3 linked regions of the Drosophila melanogaster genome follow. The protein of the gene in region 3 interacts with the protein of the main gene of each other region in a pairwise test. Each region holds a gene or a part of one and is shown on either strand. Other genes may lie near its edges.

The links.
Region 1: the proteins of Fum1 (region 3) and Gfrl interact in a two-hybrid assay, tested with the Drosophila melanogaster proteins (one large-scale study listed by BioGRID).
Region 2: the proteins of Fum1 (region 3) and a interact in a two-hybrid assay, tested with the Drosophila melanogaster proteins (one large-scale study listed by BioGRID).

What each region holds. Positions count from the first base shown.
Region 1 is NT_033777.3:20,446,481-20,451,729, reverse strand, and holds the start of Gfrl (glial cell line-derived neurotrophic family receptor-like), read left to right. Parts: upstream 1-2,042; 5' UTR 2,043-2,271; exon of another isoform or gene 2,272-2,285; intron 2,286-5,249.
Region 2 is NT_033778.4:22,135,105-22,140,020, forward strand, and holds the start of a (arc), read left to right. Parts: upstream 1-1,863; 5' UTR 1,864-2,104; intron 2,105-2,328; exon of another isoform or gene 2,329-2,895; 5' UTR 2,896-3,147; intron 3,148-3,790; exon of another isoform or gene 3,791-3,837; coding exon of another isoform or gene 3,838-4,161; exon of another isoform or gene 4,162-4,191; intron 4,192-4,830; exon of another isoform or gene 4,831-4,916. Other genes in the region: CG11269 (uncharacterized protein), read left to right, coding at 3,838-4,161.
Region 3 is NC_004354.4:6,676,640-6,682,596, forward strand, and holds Fum1 (fumarase 1), read left to right. Parts: upstream 1-1,784; 5' UTR 1,785-1,890; coding exon 1,891-1,977; exon of another isoform or gene 1,978-2,479; intron 2,480-3,000; exon of another isoform or gene 3,001-3,118; coding exon of another isoform or gene 3,119-3,121; intron 3,122-3,186; coding exon 3,187-3,318; intron 3,319-3,658; coding exon 3,659-3,859; intron 3,860-3,928; coding exon 3,929-4,733; intron 4,734-4,797; coding exon 4,798-5,060; 3' UTR 5,061-5,196; downstream 5,197-5,957. Other genes in the region: Mcm6 (minichromosome maintenance 6), read left to right, coding at 1-320; ND-ASHI (NADH dehydrogenase (ubiquinone) ASHI subunit), read right to left, coding at 724-936, 1,013-1,242, 1,361-1,445; Fum2 (fumarase 2), read left to right, coding at 5,197-5,274, 5,331-5,495, 5,580-5,783, 5,867-5,957.

The sequences.
Region 1 (5,249 bases), on a different chromosome or scaffold from region 3:
CCCGCTTACATATCCCGCCAGCAGCAGTTTTCCCTCACCCACTTCCTCACCGCAAAAAATAACATTTTCCTCGTCTTATTTTCTTTTTAGGTAAGCCCCGAAAAGAGTCCTATACTCCAAACGGTTCGCAGTGAGTAAAATATATCCTGCACTACCAAAAAAACACTTGTTTTCAATTAATTAGGCAAATGAACTAAAGCGCTTTATAAGTAAATTGAAAACAAGAAGTGGTAGGAAATCGTATTCGAATCAGGCACTAAGCATTTTCTTTTAACGGGCAGTGTAACAGGTAAAACAAATTGCTCCGAACCGAGCATAAATTAGCAATGGCAATGTAATTACACTTTCATTAGATTAAAATATCATAAGTGCCATAAAAATTAAGTTATGCCGAGGGGCGAGCACAATGGAAATGAAATAATCAGCTTACCTCGGCTGCGGGAAAACATAAAAGTCCGGCCGCACAAAAGAGCCTCGCCGTCGAGGAGCCACCGCGTTGCCAGGACACCGGCCAGGACTCATTGTTTTGGCAAGGAATCGCTTTGATTTCACGCGATAATTACAACGTGCTCCGCGAAGAATTATTCCGACTTGGGTTCGTGCAGCTATTCAGGTGGCAAACTTCGGGATCCTCAATCCCTGAGTCCGCCCACCAATTCTGGTGGAATCGGAGCGTTTCCTTGAGTCCTTTCGACGGCCAGTATTTATAGCCCCGGCGACATTTTGACATGCCGGGAGTGCCGACGCCCAGAGCCAATTTCTTGACCCCTGGCCAATTTTGACCCATTCTTTTAGGTCTTGCAAAGAGGAATTAATATTTTTGGAAACACTTATTACTCTCTGATTTATGGAAACTATGGTTTTATTTAACTAAACGTTAGTAAGGAGGTGTATTTCTCACATCTATATCTTGACTAGCTACAAACATTTATAGAAAAGATCATTTTAATTTTAAATTTGTATTAAATAAAAGATTCAATATTGCAAGACTTTTAGCATAAGTACGCAAAATTCCTTAATTTAAATAAAATATTTTAAAATTATCCCACCCAGCTTATTTCCATATATTTTGATACAAAACTCGATTGCATATCACGACATATAAATAATAAGCTGTGAAAGTATTTTCGGGAACTTTTGGGTTCATTTTTGTTGCGAATATTTTTTGTCGATGCCCTTTCATTTTTTAGTTCTAGCCAGCAAAATGGGCTGGCGGGTGTGGGTGAAGTGTCGAAGGGTTATCCTTTTTTGTGTGTGTTTCTTTTGCCAATTACCGCACGCTTCGTGAGGCATGGTCGCCGCTTCGGGCACTCGCTGCGTATACGTAATTTTTATTGGACACTCTCACGCGTCGTCATCCATCGTCTGCCGTCGTTTCCACCATCCATCCATTCGTTTTTGTGTCACGTCGTGAGCTTTTGGCTCGTACGCAGAGTCCTAGGCCAACACGAGAATTTTAATAAGAAATCTGATAAGTAAGCTCTAAATGCGTACGTTATTAAACAGAAGTCATTTGTATCTAATATCCATTAGGGTGACGTTTGTATAGCTTGATATCAAAACATAAAGCTTTAATAATATAAATTTAGAAATGTTCTCACTTACATACATAATTGAAGTCTATTATGGACTTGACATTTGAATAACGCTAACAATACGTTTTTGTATATTAAAATACCAAAAGTACTTATAATTTTGCAAAACTACAGTAAACTTTTTAAAGGAAATGTTTAAAATGGAATAGAACTTGCGAAGCGAGTGACTTTCGATACAAGACCTTGTTTCCTACAGTTTGAGAGTCATACTCTGCTTATTCCACGAAAAAAACGAGAATGGAGAGGGAACTTACTCGCCGAATGTGCAACCAAAACAAAACGGATAATTGTTAGTGTCCTTTCTCTCTTTTACTCTCAGCTGGAAATCTCTGACTTTACAGCTGTTATTTGGACTGTTAATTTACATTTGCCGATGGCCCAGAGAACTCGGAGCCGAGTCCTTAGAGCTTCGTGCGGTGAAAGGACCCGACTTCGTACGGGCCAAACAGTTTTCGACTGAGACTCGTGACGAACGGACGCGCGGCCAATGGCAAGCGGGCAGTGCGATTCAATTCGATGCGAATTCGACTCTAGCGGAAGCGGAAATACGAATGCCAGCGAATTGCCAATGGCACGGCTGATATGTGTGCGTGCCGCGAGCGAGGATCGTCGAGTCGAGTGAATGGAATATCCAGAAACGTCGATCGCAATCTTCGAGTCAACACGGAGCTAAGCTGTAAATCATAAAGTGTCAGTCAGAAAAACCAACAAAAATCAGTCGAGTGTGCTTTCTTCGCCCGAGATTTGTGCCACTGCATACTATAGCCCATAGTATATAATTTAATTTGCCAAATGTGTTGGAAAATTGTATGGCCCGGCGAAGGGGAAAGTGGCAAGCAAAGGAAAACTCCGAGCAGCAGCTGGCAGTGCCGCACGGCTTACTGCTTACTGCTTATGCTGGTAATGGGTTAATGCGGTTGAGCACTCGCATGCCTTCACGCTTATCCCCCCACCACCCATTGCCCCTCTTCCATCTCACATCGCTCCGAAAAAGCAAATATTTCATGTTATTTACCTAGGTGCGCCACTTTCGTTAATTGTATGCAAAAAAGTTGCCAACCTTATCCCCTCCCACCACACTATGGCACACTCTCCGTGTGTGAGTGAAGTGAAGTTTTTGGCTCAGGTTTATTCGCTACAACAACTTTCGGGTGGCTGGTTCAATTACAAACCCCTGGCCCACGGCCCACAGCCCACAGCCCACGGCCCATCGCATATCGCCTGCCGCACTATTTCCGCTCTAAAATTTGAGCCAACTTGCCGTTGCCAGCTGGGCTCCTCTTGGTTTAGTACTGTTTCAGCAAAGCAAAACCTGTTCCTGCGACGTTGCTGCGCCTCACTTAGTAAATAAATTGGCAATCGCATTTAATGTGAGTTTATGTGCGTCGATACCTTGGGTCGACTGCTCGGCTCGGCTCCTCTACTCTGCCATTTGGTAGTTATTTCTTTTTTTTCGGTTTCTTGGCTCGTGCTCATGTGCAAATCGTAAATTCACGTTAATGCCGAAATTTCACGTGATAATGACGTGATTACCTGGCGCACACACACACACAGGCCCACAATGTGGCGATCCATGCACATGTCTCCATGTCCCCATGTCCTCATGTCTCACCATGTCGCCTGCCTATCCTTGTCTGCCAGGACTAGGGGCATAAATACGTAACATCCAACTGGGAACTTGGTACTGGTAACTGGTAACTGCTAACTGGGAACTGGTAACTAGGAACTCACTCCGATGGCAGCTCAACTGAAAAATGAGTGCCCCTAAAATAGTTGCAATGCATTCAACTGAATCGGAGTGCGGTGGTAGTCCTGGCCGGGAATTTCTGGTTAGGCCCAAGCGTAAAATTGTTGGCGTAGTTCCCAAGTGCTGTTCAATGAGTTGGAGTTGAAATTGCTGCAATTGTTCAGTGCCACCGCTCCATTCGTCGTAATCCATTCCCAATTTAAATGGCAAAGGGGTTCTGTTCTGATTTTTTTTAAAGCGTTGCCTAACTGTCTCAAAGTTTCTTTGCAATCGCGTAATTTGGCCGTATTCTTTGCGTTTTATTTGCAACTTTTTAATTACTTTTGAGTAGCGATTTGAACTTTGCGCCTGTCGCCCGTTTACACTCTAATTAAGCGGCCCATTCAAGGGCTCTGTATTTTGTATTTATATCCTTTTGCTCCTGCTCCTGTTTCTTATCGCGCCAAGTAAAAGAAGTTCTCGGCTTTTAAATGCAGCTGTCGCAAGTTGGTGGCGCTTTAAACGTTCGCTGGCATTTCCGTTTCCGTTAAATCGCTCCTAAGCCAGTTTGTTAGTTTTACCTTGACATTTTATGCAGTTTTTCTCGGTGTTATATGTATGTATTTTTTCTAGCTACCTTTTGTGTGCCTTTGTTTTGCTTGTTACCTGCGCGCAATTTTTTCTAGGTACACAGAAAAAATAATCTTAAAGAGATTACGAGATTATGATACCACCTAACTTACATTTGGATGTATAAATAAATTTTCTCATAACTTAGGTCTAGCCAGTTTTCACTTTAGTGGAGTGTTAATAAATTTGTTAAGTTAAATAAATTAACTTACAAAAAAAAAAAAAAAGTTCAAAGAATATCGGTTTCTGACTTCATTCTTTGTGGTCAATCTGGGACATGCCATTATTTAGATACTTTTTGTTTCAGCTACATAAATTGTATTTATTTTGTGAACAACAAAAGAAGTACGCGAAGGTACGCAACTCCAAAGTGAATTATTTCGCCGTGTGTAGTGGCGATGGCAGCAGCTGCTTGTGGAACAACTTTAACATTATTTGCTTTGCTGCAACACTCCCCCGCACCCTGCTCAGCGATCCGTGGCCTTTGTTCGTCTCCGGACTCCTTTCACTTTGAGTTCCCCGCTGTCCGCACCCGAATCATGAATCATTTCTGCCGCTGCACCCACCAACTCCCATCAGCTCCTGCCGTCCTTTTGGCCACATCTAAGTGTTGTTTAATGCAGCTTTTCAACTCATTCGCTTTGACATACACGTGTGTGCCGTGTATGGTTCTGGGTTCCGGCTTCCACTTTCAACTTTCTACTTTTTATTTGCCAACCTTCCAACCTTGGTGCCTTTGCATGTAGCATCAGATTTGCTTATGCAAATGCGTCGCCGAGAAGGGGATTTGCCATTTGCACCGCTCGTCCTCGATCGAAATGTTTACGGTTTCTATTCGAAGAGGGCTGATGTCATAGCTTGTCGATGGCCAGTTTAAATAATTGCCACCGCAATAAATTATTAAATCAACAACAATTACTCACTGGCCGGCCAAAGGGAATCAATCAATGCTTGTGGGGGAGTCGAAAATCGAGTGAAATTAAGTGATGTGGAGTGGAGTGGATTCATAAGCTGACAAAATGCCAGCTCACTCCATGCACCGTAGGTGTATTATAACGAGTTTCATGACAGCAATTATGCGAGGTCGGCACCGCACTCCTCCGCACACACACAAACACACACTCCCGCACATATGAATACTTATTATTACGCATACGCAGTGGTGCCGGAGCAGGCTAATGTGTGGTTTGGGCGTTGCTTTTCGAGGGCTTTGTAATCGATATTACAATGGCATTGTGTTAGGGCCTCGATATGCTGGCAGTACAGGTATTTTTTCAGCCTTTTTATCGCTCCCTGCA
Region 2 (4,916 bases), on a different chromosome or scaffold from region 3:
TGTTAATTATTAGTATTTTTGATTTACTGGTAATGCATTGTTTTATAATACACTACTACCTACTACTACTTTCTGCGGATAAGTAGCAACGCGCGCTATTTACTCTTTCCTAGCAGCAAATGAAAGCCCAACGATGAGGTCGCTTATGTGGACAGGTGCAGTGGCCAGGTAAATTCAGGTGTGTGCGTGTGTTTGCCTCCGTTTTCATATGCCGTCCGTCTGTTTTTCGAATGCAGCCCATACCGATAGCCATACCAATACCCCTGCCAACTCCCATAACCAGGCCCAAACCCAGACCCAAAGCATATCCATAGCCCCCGACTTCTGTGCCTAAACGAACAGTTATGCAAATCGAGAAGAGGCGCACCTCCTCCCCCAACGTCGCCCCGCCCCCTGCTTTATCACTCGAGGGGTTTACTTTACTTTTTTGTTTCTCTGTGTATTTAGCGCCTAATACCCAAGTTTATGTCGCTTAATTATAGACCTTAAACAGCCGCCGCGAACAGTTGGCTTAACATGCTAATCGCCAGACTCGGGGGCTAACCCCTTTTCCCATCCTGACGGCGGTGGCGGGGTATCGAATGACCTTCTTCTGATCTGAGACGCCACTTGTTGATCGATAGTATGGAAACTCTAGTAGCTTGGGAGCGGAAATCCGCGATGCGAAAACGAAAACTTTTGTTAGCCCAATCTGGTAATCGATAGTTCGCTTCGATCCCACATCAAACGCCGGCCTTTTAGAGCCAAACTATTAAGCGGATTTGGCCAATTCGGTAGCGGACAGATTGGAACAGAATCGCTCGGAGATCTGCTTTTAATAAGGCTTAAATAGCTCTGAGCGAGCACGATTAATTCGCCATAAAAGTGAGGCTTTAATTGGCTGACGAGTGGGAAGCATTAACTAAGGAAAGTGTTTTTGCCCAAAGAGCAAAGAATATGAATAGACTTTGGTAGTTACACTGCTAGGAATCACGAATACTTATATGTATCTTTGATGCGCCTTATTTTGTTCATGTTTGATTTGGCAAATTACTATAGATTAAGTGATTGCATTTATATATGGAAAATATAATCTTAATTTATTGATTTCTAGTTCTATTTTCGTTTTGCTGCCGTATGTACATTGTAAAGTTTTTCTACTGACATTGAAAGATAAGAGTGAAAACACTTTGCCCTTTTGCACTAAATTTGAATGCCAAACGGACTGCATTCAGAAGTATCCACCCGAAACAATGGGTGGGCGTTTTTCAAGTGGGTGGTTTTCCAGTGGGTGGTGCGCCAGTGGGTAGTAGTTGTCCTTCACATGCCCGCTTACCTTTACCTATGACATTAAGCGAAGCAAATTGAGTGACTGACTCGATTAAGGCACTTGGTCAGTGCATTTACTTACTGTACTACTTGATTACTAAGTGCACTCATAATGCATGCAATTTAAATCATAATTGAAATAATTATCGTAGAACGAGAAATAATATTTAAAGAGAATGGTAATAACTAAGAAAATTAAAAAAAAGTTACTTTATCTGATGAAGGATGAAAAAAAGAAAAAAAAATTTAAGTTCTTACTTATTGTTTATAATTATAATCATTACAATTATATTAAACAATAAATTATAATAATAATTATTAATATATTATTAATTATATGTTAATTCTAATTATAAATAAGTTAAAAATAAAAATGCAATTAGTGAAAGAAAGAGGTATAACAAGAGCTTAAAATTTTACCTTTCTCTTTTCAGATTTTATGCTTTGGTGCTCTTCTCTTAAAATTTGTGTTTTGGAGAGACTCGTTCTCATCTCTCGTTGAGCGACGCGAGCGAGAGAGGCAAACTATTTAAGCCACATCGCAAGGCAACTCGTGTTCAATCTTTGTTTTCGTAGCGCGGCGGTCGCATCGGAGTCGAGAACTCGAAGTGAAGGTGCACGAAGAATTCGATAAATACAATTAAATAGTTTTGAATATATTGCGGTGATTTTTGGATTTGCATACCGGTTTTCGAGAAGCGAATTCGTAAAAACATGTTATGTTTAAATATCGAGAAGTGTCCCAAAGTGCGAAACAAACCGATTTAACAACAAATGCCCAAAGCGAATCACAAACGTGAGAGAAACAATAAATATATAAAGTGAATTATTATAGCATAAAATGAATTATTCTCTTATCAGTGTGTACATTATATTTTCATAAAGCACAAATAAAATTCAGTGAAGACATTAACAAATTCAAGCTAAAAGTTAAACTGAAAGCTAAACACTTTTTTTTGTTGAAATTGCAATTTTTTTTATTATAAATGTTTGTACTGATAATTGCGCTTACAACAAAAACGAATACACAAATCAAAGCAAGTGTCTGTGTGATTGTAAAGAAGAATGTGCTAAGCAAATAAGGCAAATAACAACCATATAACTGTAACTGAAATCCCACACTGAGAAAATAATCAGCGAAGAATAATATTTTGACATCCGTCTCTTGAAATATAAGATCAAACTTTAGGTTAATACTCATTAGAAATATATCAATAAGCTATGAAATATCATTTAAATAAAAATGTAGTGATCTTATTTTCATTTTTCTTCGTGCTCTCATAAGACAAGTTGATTGATTTGCGCAAAGGGAATTCGAGACACTTAAGATATTACCAAGTTCAGTGAGCAACCGCCCTAATGTCAAGGTCTTTCGCTTGGGGATCGGGTTTTAACCTAATGGACTTGACCCCCATTTTCTGTGGCTGTACGAAATCCGCAGCTTAAGTTACCAGCAAAACATATTTACTCAATTAGAGCTGACACCTATTATGTCTCAAGTTGCAACACGTGGTGCAATAAGTAAAAAATATTTTATCAATTCTGTTTAATTTTCCTAATTTTTGATTTCTCTCTAATCGTGTCTAGTAACCCATAAAACTAACGACAATTCGCATAAACAAACATAATAAAGGAAACGTTAGTAAAACAACAGAGTGTAAAAAAGGTTTAGCAACCGCGAAAACGACTTACGAATTTTCACAACAACTTGATGTTTTGTAACGGAGTTTCAAGAAACTAGTAAAAACTTTATTGTGAATTCTTCTGCTGCTTCTTCTTTGCAAGTGTGGCAAAAATTTTGTTGCTCTGCGGATTTATCGAGAACATCAACCACTCACGGTAAGTTGTGCTAATTATTGCTTAAACTTATTTAGTTGGCTATTTTTATTGCAATTTCTTGAGCATGATTCACAAGGGGAATTCAAATCAGAGGCTGCCCTTTAATGAATCAGCTACTTGGTTGGCATGGCCTACATTCAGTTCTCTAAAAATCACTTCTGATATATAAATACGCAGAACTAAATGCAGCCACTGATTTGAAATATCAAATATATTGCAGGTCTTCGTTCTGCATAAGCTTGATGTTCTGAAGTATATTGTATACATCGTTTTTTTGACGTGCTTTTCAAGTGTTAATAAGTTGAGCTGCTTCTATATCATACTCATATGTATGTGTGCAAATGATATATCTGTCAGTTGTCCATCATTGGCTAAGATCAAATCCGAATCTAAGCCATTTCGAGTTGAACAAACCCAATCGCAACGCCGCCGAAAGCGAGAGGCACGGGTACGTGAACTCCATATTCCGACCACTCTGATCTAATGCCGCTGAAATCGCACAAGGTTGTACTTGTGTACGAGCGTATGTAGATAGATGGATGAATAGTATGTGGTCCAATACATTCCGATTTCGATTTCGGATTCGGTTTCGCTTTCGAAGTCGGCTTAAACTTGGCACCTGTTGCGGTCAGAGCAACACTCGACTACACTGTCGCACAAAGTTCGCATAGAATTGAATCGAGCTTGAAAATGTTTTGTGGTCGCAAGTGCTGTCTGTTCTGCCTGTTCATGAGCGCCTGGGGCTTCTTGATGCTGAATCTGCTGGGTATCTTCTTCTACGTCCAGTCACTGATGCTCCTGGAGTCCCTGCCCTTGCCCCACCACTTCCCCAGTCAGGAGGCCTTCAAGGAGCAGGCGGACGAGGCCTACCAGGACGTGTCCACACGGTGCTTTGTAGCCGCCGTTTTCTATCTGGGATTCGTCTTCATTGCGATAGTGGCCATTCGTCGGGATAACAAGAGAAGGAAGCGACTCTACAAGCGGGGTCCCGGTCACTTGCGATTCCGTCGTTGATTTGTATGATTGGTTATTGAATAAACAATTTATTTTCATGGTTCCAATTGCATTTCACCCACTCAGCGACGTCCACCCACTTGTTGGTTCGAAAGATCGAAAGAACCAGTTTGTTGACCGCATTCTGCGATTAGCCTTAACTTCTTTATCGCCAAGCCACTTTTCGATTTCAAGTCTGGCTGACTGTTGTCCACTCCGCATTATGCATTCGTCTCGGACCAACCGATTTTTGACAGCGCACGTGACACCTTCACCGAGGTGTGTTCTCTTTTGGGCATCATAAATTTCCGTGAAATTCTCTTTCCGAAACATGCTAATGGGAATGGGGTGTGGGTTCCCAGTTCTGGCTATTCCCCCCCCTTTCACCTCTATACCGTAGTCTAGTCTACACCGGGGTTATGTATCTTGTTCTTATCGACCGAGCTTTTGTGTCTTACACGAAAACCGTTGTGTAAATTATCGTACACGATTTTCTAGTTGTACGCTTGTGTATCTGGCTTGTTATCACCACCAACCAAGTGCAGTCTGCTGAAAACTGGTTCACTGCATTTACTCATTTTTTCGGGAACTCGGGTTAACTGATTTGGAGATCTGGCAATACCTGGGAAATATTCTAAATTTCCTCCATGGATGGTCTTCTATATAATTGTGCCACCCGAGAGACCGTACAATTTCTTATGCAGATGTAGAATCGTATTTTTTACGAATCTATGAAACACACTCGTAGAAAAGTGGTTCAATTCAGAAACATTTGA
Region 3 (5,957 bases):
AGAATCTGTCCACCATGCTGGTGTTGCATATGCGCGCCGAGGAGGCGCGCTGCGAGGTGGAGGGCAACGATACGGGCATCAAGCGCAGCAATGTGGTCACCTGGTATCTGGAGCAGGTGGCGGACCAAATCGAATCCGAGGATGAGTTAATTTCTCGCAAAAATCTCATCGAGAAGCTTATCGATCGCCTCATCTATCACGATCAGGTCATTATTCCGCTCAAGACATCCACGCTGAAGCCGAGAATTCAGGTACAAAAGGATTTCGTGGAGGAGGACGATCCCCTGCTGGTGGTGCATCCCAACTACGTTGTGGAGTGATCCCAGCCGATCAACAGTTTATTACTATGCCCTAAATCTAGCTGGTTAAGTTTCTGTTTCCGCGTCTTGCTTTTTTTTGCTCACCCAAACAAACAATGTATTTAGGCAGTAAGTTTATAGTTTAGAGACATTATTGAAATCCATTAAGGATTTCTTGGTTCAGTTACGTTCCAAATCATTCATGTTTTCGCCGAAATAAACGTTCATCTCAAGATTCATTTCGTTTTTTGCTGCTCATTAAGAACGGAATGAAAAATGCAACCCAACATGCGCAGTCAAAATGATAGCAAATCCATGTTTTAGCTTGGTTTCCATTCATTTTAATTGTATAGATGCGTTGATTAATTGCCTATGAAATAAAAACGAGGCGCGCAGTGCGATCGAGAGCGTGATAGATACAATCCTACTTCTCGAAGGTGTAGTGCTTGACGCCAGGGCTGGGATATTGCTTGGCGGCCACGGGGCGGTACATCTTCTTGTCATCCAGCCAGTAGTAGAGTGCCAGGCAGCCGGACATCACGCCCAGGAAGCAGGCAAAGTAGTACGCATTGCTGTAGCGTGGCGGTTCGGCCTGCGACCAGCGATCCTCGCTGTACAGATCATGATCCGCCGAGATCTGCAATGGAAATGGATCAGGGTTTGACTCTTTTTTTATGCAGCAGCTGCTGCTAGCCGTTGATGTTGGCGCTTACGGGCTCGTGTTGGTTGCGCTTGTGCTCCGGATAGTCCCAGGGATAGTACGAGTCCTTGGCCTCCACACCCAGACCGTAGCCCAATTTGGGATAATCTCCGTAGCCCAGACCATCGTCCGCATACGGTTTGTACTCCTCCGGCAACAGATAGTACTTCTTGGCCGCCGCCAGGCGCTCCTTCTCCGTCTGTGGATACGGACCCGGCTTGTAGTCCTTATTCCAGCCAGCCACTAAAACGTAAATGGCGAGAAATTCGAATTTGTAGCCATTCGGTGCATGCAAAAGTTACGTAAACAAAACAGTGGGGCAGGTTGCACTGTTGCCAGCGCAGCCCCGATTCACACTTACTGCTGCGGATCGCCTGGCGAGCCACGACGGGATTGGCGGCGCACAGCTTTTGGGCCAAGCACACGGTTTTCACAAACGCCGACATTGCAGGCTTGTTTCCACTAAAAAAAAGTTCCTCTGAAGTTACGATTCCCGAAAAAACAGCTGTTCGCCTGCGGATGGCACACAAACGATAGGATACAGTGCCGCAACGGTCTGCTATCGATAGTTGTAGTTTCAAAAAAAACAAATAGAACTATCAACAGATTTTAAATTTGTTAGCTATGGAATAGGAATTTACAGTTAGTACTAAGGTAACTAGGTGTTTCTTAAAAATGTTTAGGATTTTTGTTTCTCAATTTTTATGAACTTAGGCAGCAATCGTTACAAAGTCGATAAGAACAATCGATGGTCCGATAGCTCTCACCCGCGCATCGAGGTGCTGTTGTTGTTTTTTGTTGTTGTTGGTGTTGTTGTGGTGGGCTCGTCCGTGAAAGATCACTTGCTTGCAAACTTATTTATTAATTACCGACTAAGGAATAAGCATAGAGATGGTGCTACCATTATTGCAACGCTCCACGCTTCGCGGCGTTCAACAAATGACGAAACCCTGGGCCGCCATTGGAAGTTTGCGTCTGGTAAGGATTCCAAGTGCTGTGCAAATTGGATATATATTTTGTAGCGAGATGGCAAAAATATTTTGCCTTATGTAATGCTAGATTCGCCCATGCAGCGGCTAATAACTCCAAAATATGTTATTTTTTTGATTGTAAACAAGGCGCGGCGAGCAGAAATGCCAATGAAAAGTGCACAAATGCCGGCGTTTCGTAATCATTACACAATGGAAAGCGGAGGCGAGCGACTTCCAGGCGCTGGAACGGACGTTCCAATTGGCACACCACTGCGACCACTTGTGGACGAAACTCCAATTGGCGCGCGACTCCAATTGGAAGCCGTCGCATTGATTTTTTCACTCAATTTTCGCAAACGTTTTTTATTTTCATTTCGCACTCAAAACTCAAATCACATGATTGAAAACAAAACAAACTCACGGCGTTGAAAAAAAAAGGGAAAAGAGAGAACCATAAACTCGCGAAACGAGTTGTAATTCAAGAAATTGTGCTAGTCAGCGAATTCTTGTTTTTTTTTTTCGGCAATTGAATTAAAACCGGTTAATTATATATGGTACTAGATGAATGAACGACCACTGTAATACACTACCGATTATTCAGATAATGCTGCATATAAAACATATGTATATAAGACACTAGATAGTAGAGCTACAGTCCGGCGTAAATTCCACCCATAAATCCCGAGGAACAGCGCTGGTCACATGAATAGCACTGGAAATGCAAAAGTTCGAATCAGTCTGTTTTTATAGAATTGCTATTGCAATTATTATGCATACAATATACATATATACACAAATATAGTTCGAGATCCTCGCACTACTTTCGTGCCCCCTGCTGTGTGCACCCCATGCCCAAGTTGGGTCTTTCATATTCAGCGCCCAGTGCTCGGGCATTCAACACCTCCCACCAATTCTGCGGGAAGTTCGCTCGTTGAGAGCGCTCTTTCAAGAATCTGTTCGTTGTACACTCGGCTTTTTGGTTTTGAATCCCCCTAGCTTATCGCCTCTGCCTTTCAATGCCCGAGCACGCCTCAGTTAACATCGAGCAGCAGCCGTCGTCGAGTGGTCGTCCTCTGATTTGTTCACTCTGATTGCCATAGTCTCAATTTGGCTTCACTTACTTACTATCTGTCATATCTGCATCTGAAATGGTCTGCCCCTGTGTTTACTTACTGATAATTATAGCCATTCTTATCGGATTCATTCGCATCGACAGGCCTCCCAGGAGTTTCGCGTGGAGAGCGACACCTTTGGCGAACTGAAGGTGCCCGCGGATAAGTACTATGGCGCCCAAACGATGCGATCCCAGATCAATTTCCCCATCGGCGGAGCCACCGAACGGATGCCCGTAAGTAGTGCCCCCCACTGCCTCCATCTACGTATACATATAATTCTCACGTAAATCTTTCGAAAGTATTTAAAAGTCAGCATTGAAGGTTCAAAAAGCAGCAAGGTCTAGCTAATTACTAAGTAAAATATGGCTTAAATTAAGCTTCTATTACAGAAAGCAGAACAAATGGTGAATGCTAGTTCAATGAGTTTGTTCATTGTAATTCAGAGTCTATAGAAAGTTAAAGTCTAAAAAATGTATTAACTACATTAACATAACACACAAGTATGTTGCGTAAAGTAAAAAATAAGAAGAAAACACATTGAAAGCAACTAAAACTCTCGTTAATCCCCGCCAGAAACCCGTGGTCCAGGCCATGGGCATCCTGAAGAAGGCCGCCGCCGAGGTGAACAAGGAGTTCGGACTGGACAGCAAGGTTAGCGAGGCGATCTCGAAGGCGGCCGACGATGTGATCTCTGGCAAGCTATACGACGACCACTTCCCGCTGGTCATCTGGCAGACGGGCTCGGGCACGCAGAGCAACATGAATGTGAATGAGGTGGGCATGAGCGGTCATTTGTTTCATTTGCACTATTCTCAAATCTCCTCTAACTCTCTAACTCTCAAGGTGATCAGCAATCGTGCCATTGAGCTGCTGGGCGGCAAACTGGGCTCCAAGACGCCCGTGCATCCCAACGATCATGTGAACAAATCGCAGAGCTCCAACGATACCTTCCCCACCGCCATTCACATCTCGGTGGCGCTGGAGCTGAACAACAACCTTAAGCCGGCGATTAAGACGCTGCACGATGCGCTGCGTGCCAAGTCGGAGGAGTTCAAGGACATTATCAAGATCGGACGCACGCATACGATGGATGCGGTGCCATTGACGCTGGGCCAAGAGTTCAGCGGCTATGCCCAGCAATTGGCCTACGCCCAGGAGCGCATCGATGCCTGTCTGCCGCGCGTCTATGAGCTGGCTCTGGGCGGCACTGCTGTGGGTACGGGTCTGAACACACGCAAGGGATTCGCCGAGAAGTGCGCTGCAAAGATCGCCGAGCTGACCAGCCTGCCCTTCGTTACCGCGCCCAACAAGTTCGAGGCACTGGCTGCCCGCGATGCCATGGTGGAGGTGCATGGTGTGCTCAACACGATCGCCGTTAGCCTGATGAAGATTGCCAACGATATTCGTTTCCTTGGCTCCGGACCGCGTTGCGGTTTGGGTGAGCTCTCGCTACCGGAGAACGAGCCAGGTAGCTCCATCATGCCCGGCAAGGTGAATCCCACGCAATGCGAGTCGCTGACAATGCTCTCCGCCCAGGTGATGGGCAATCAGGTGGCGGTGACCATCGGTGGATCCAATGGGCACTTCGAGCTGAATGTATTCAAGCCCCTGATCGTGTCCAATGTGCTGCGCTCCATTCGGCTATTGTGTAAGCTACCTATTACCCACCCTTGGTGGAACGCCAAATCAATCGAATCTATTCCTTTTTGTAGCTGATGGCAGCAGGACCTTCACTGCCAACTGTGTGAATGGCATCCAGGCGAACCGCGAGAATATTGCCAAGATCATGAACGAGTCGCTCATGCTGGTGACCGCTCTGAATCCGCACATTGGTTACGACAAGGCTGCGAAAATTGCAAAGACGGCGCACAAGAATGGCACCACACTCAAGGAGGAGGCCATCAATTTGGGTTACCTGACGGAGCAGCAGTTCAACGACTGGGTGCGACCCGAACAGATGCTGGGACCCAAGTGAAGTGGAGCCAAGTAGGCCGACGACGAAATCCATCATTCAATCATCGCTGTCATCGGAATCGCAGTGTGATTTTCTAGATCAGATCGTTTTGTTGTATATGAATCGCTCGGAAACACAGAACCAATAATAATTGAAAATGCTGAAGCAAAACAATGGTCTGCATCTGGCTAGGCGCAATCTCTGGGTGGTTTGCAGTGGCCTCCGTGCCAAGGATGTAAGTACGCGACAATGGTCGCTGGCAACTCATGGCTACATGGGGCATCTTTGCAGTGCGACAGTGGCGGTAAGGGCGGCAAGGGCAAGGAGAATGGCAAGTTTCGTACGGAGAAGGACACCTTCGGGGAGCTAAAGGTGCCGGCGGACAAGCTGTACGGCGCACAGACGATGCGCTCCAAATTGAATTTTCCCATTGGCGACATAGGCGAACGTATGCCGGTAGGCAACCAACCAACCAACCAACATATTCTGGCATCTACCAAGTGCTTTGCCATAGCCAATTAATCCCCAAACTGCCCGCAGATGCCGGTGATCCAGGCCATGGGCATACTGAAGAAGGCATGTGCCGAGGTCAACAAGGATTACGGACTAGATGGCAAGGTGTCGGATGCCGTATCCTGCGCCTGCGACGATGTCATTTCCGGCAAGCTATACAAACAGGGTCACTTCCCATTGGTCATCTGGCAAACCGGTTCGGGCACCCAGACCAATATGAACACCAACGAGGTAAGATTGTTAGATAGGGCTAACGAGAGAAATGTGTATAGCTGGATGCTTCTCCTGCCCCATGCCATTGGCAAACCTACTAGGTGATCAGCAATGCGGCCATTAAGATGATGGGCGGCGAACTGGGCAGCAAGAAGCCGGTGCATCCCAACGATCATGTGAACAAGTCGCAGA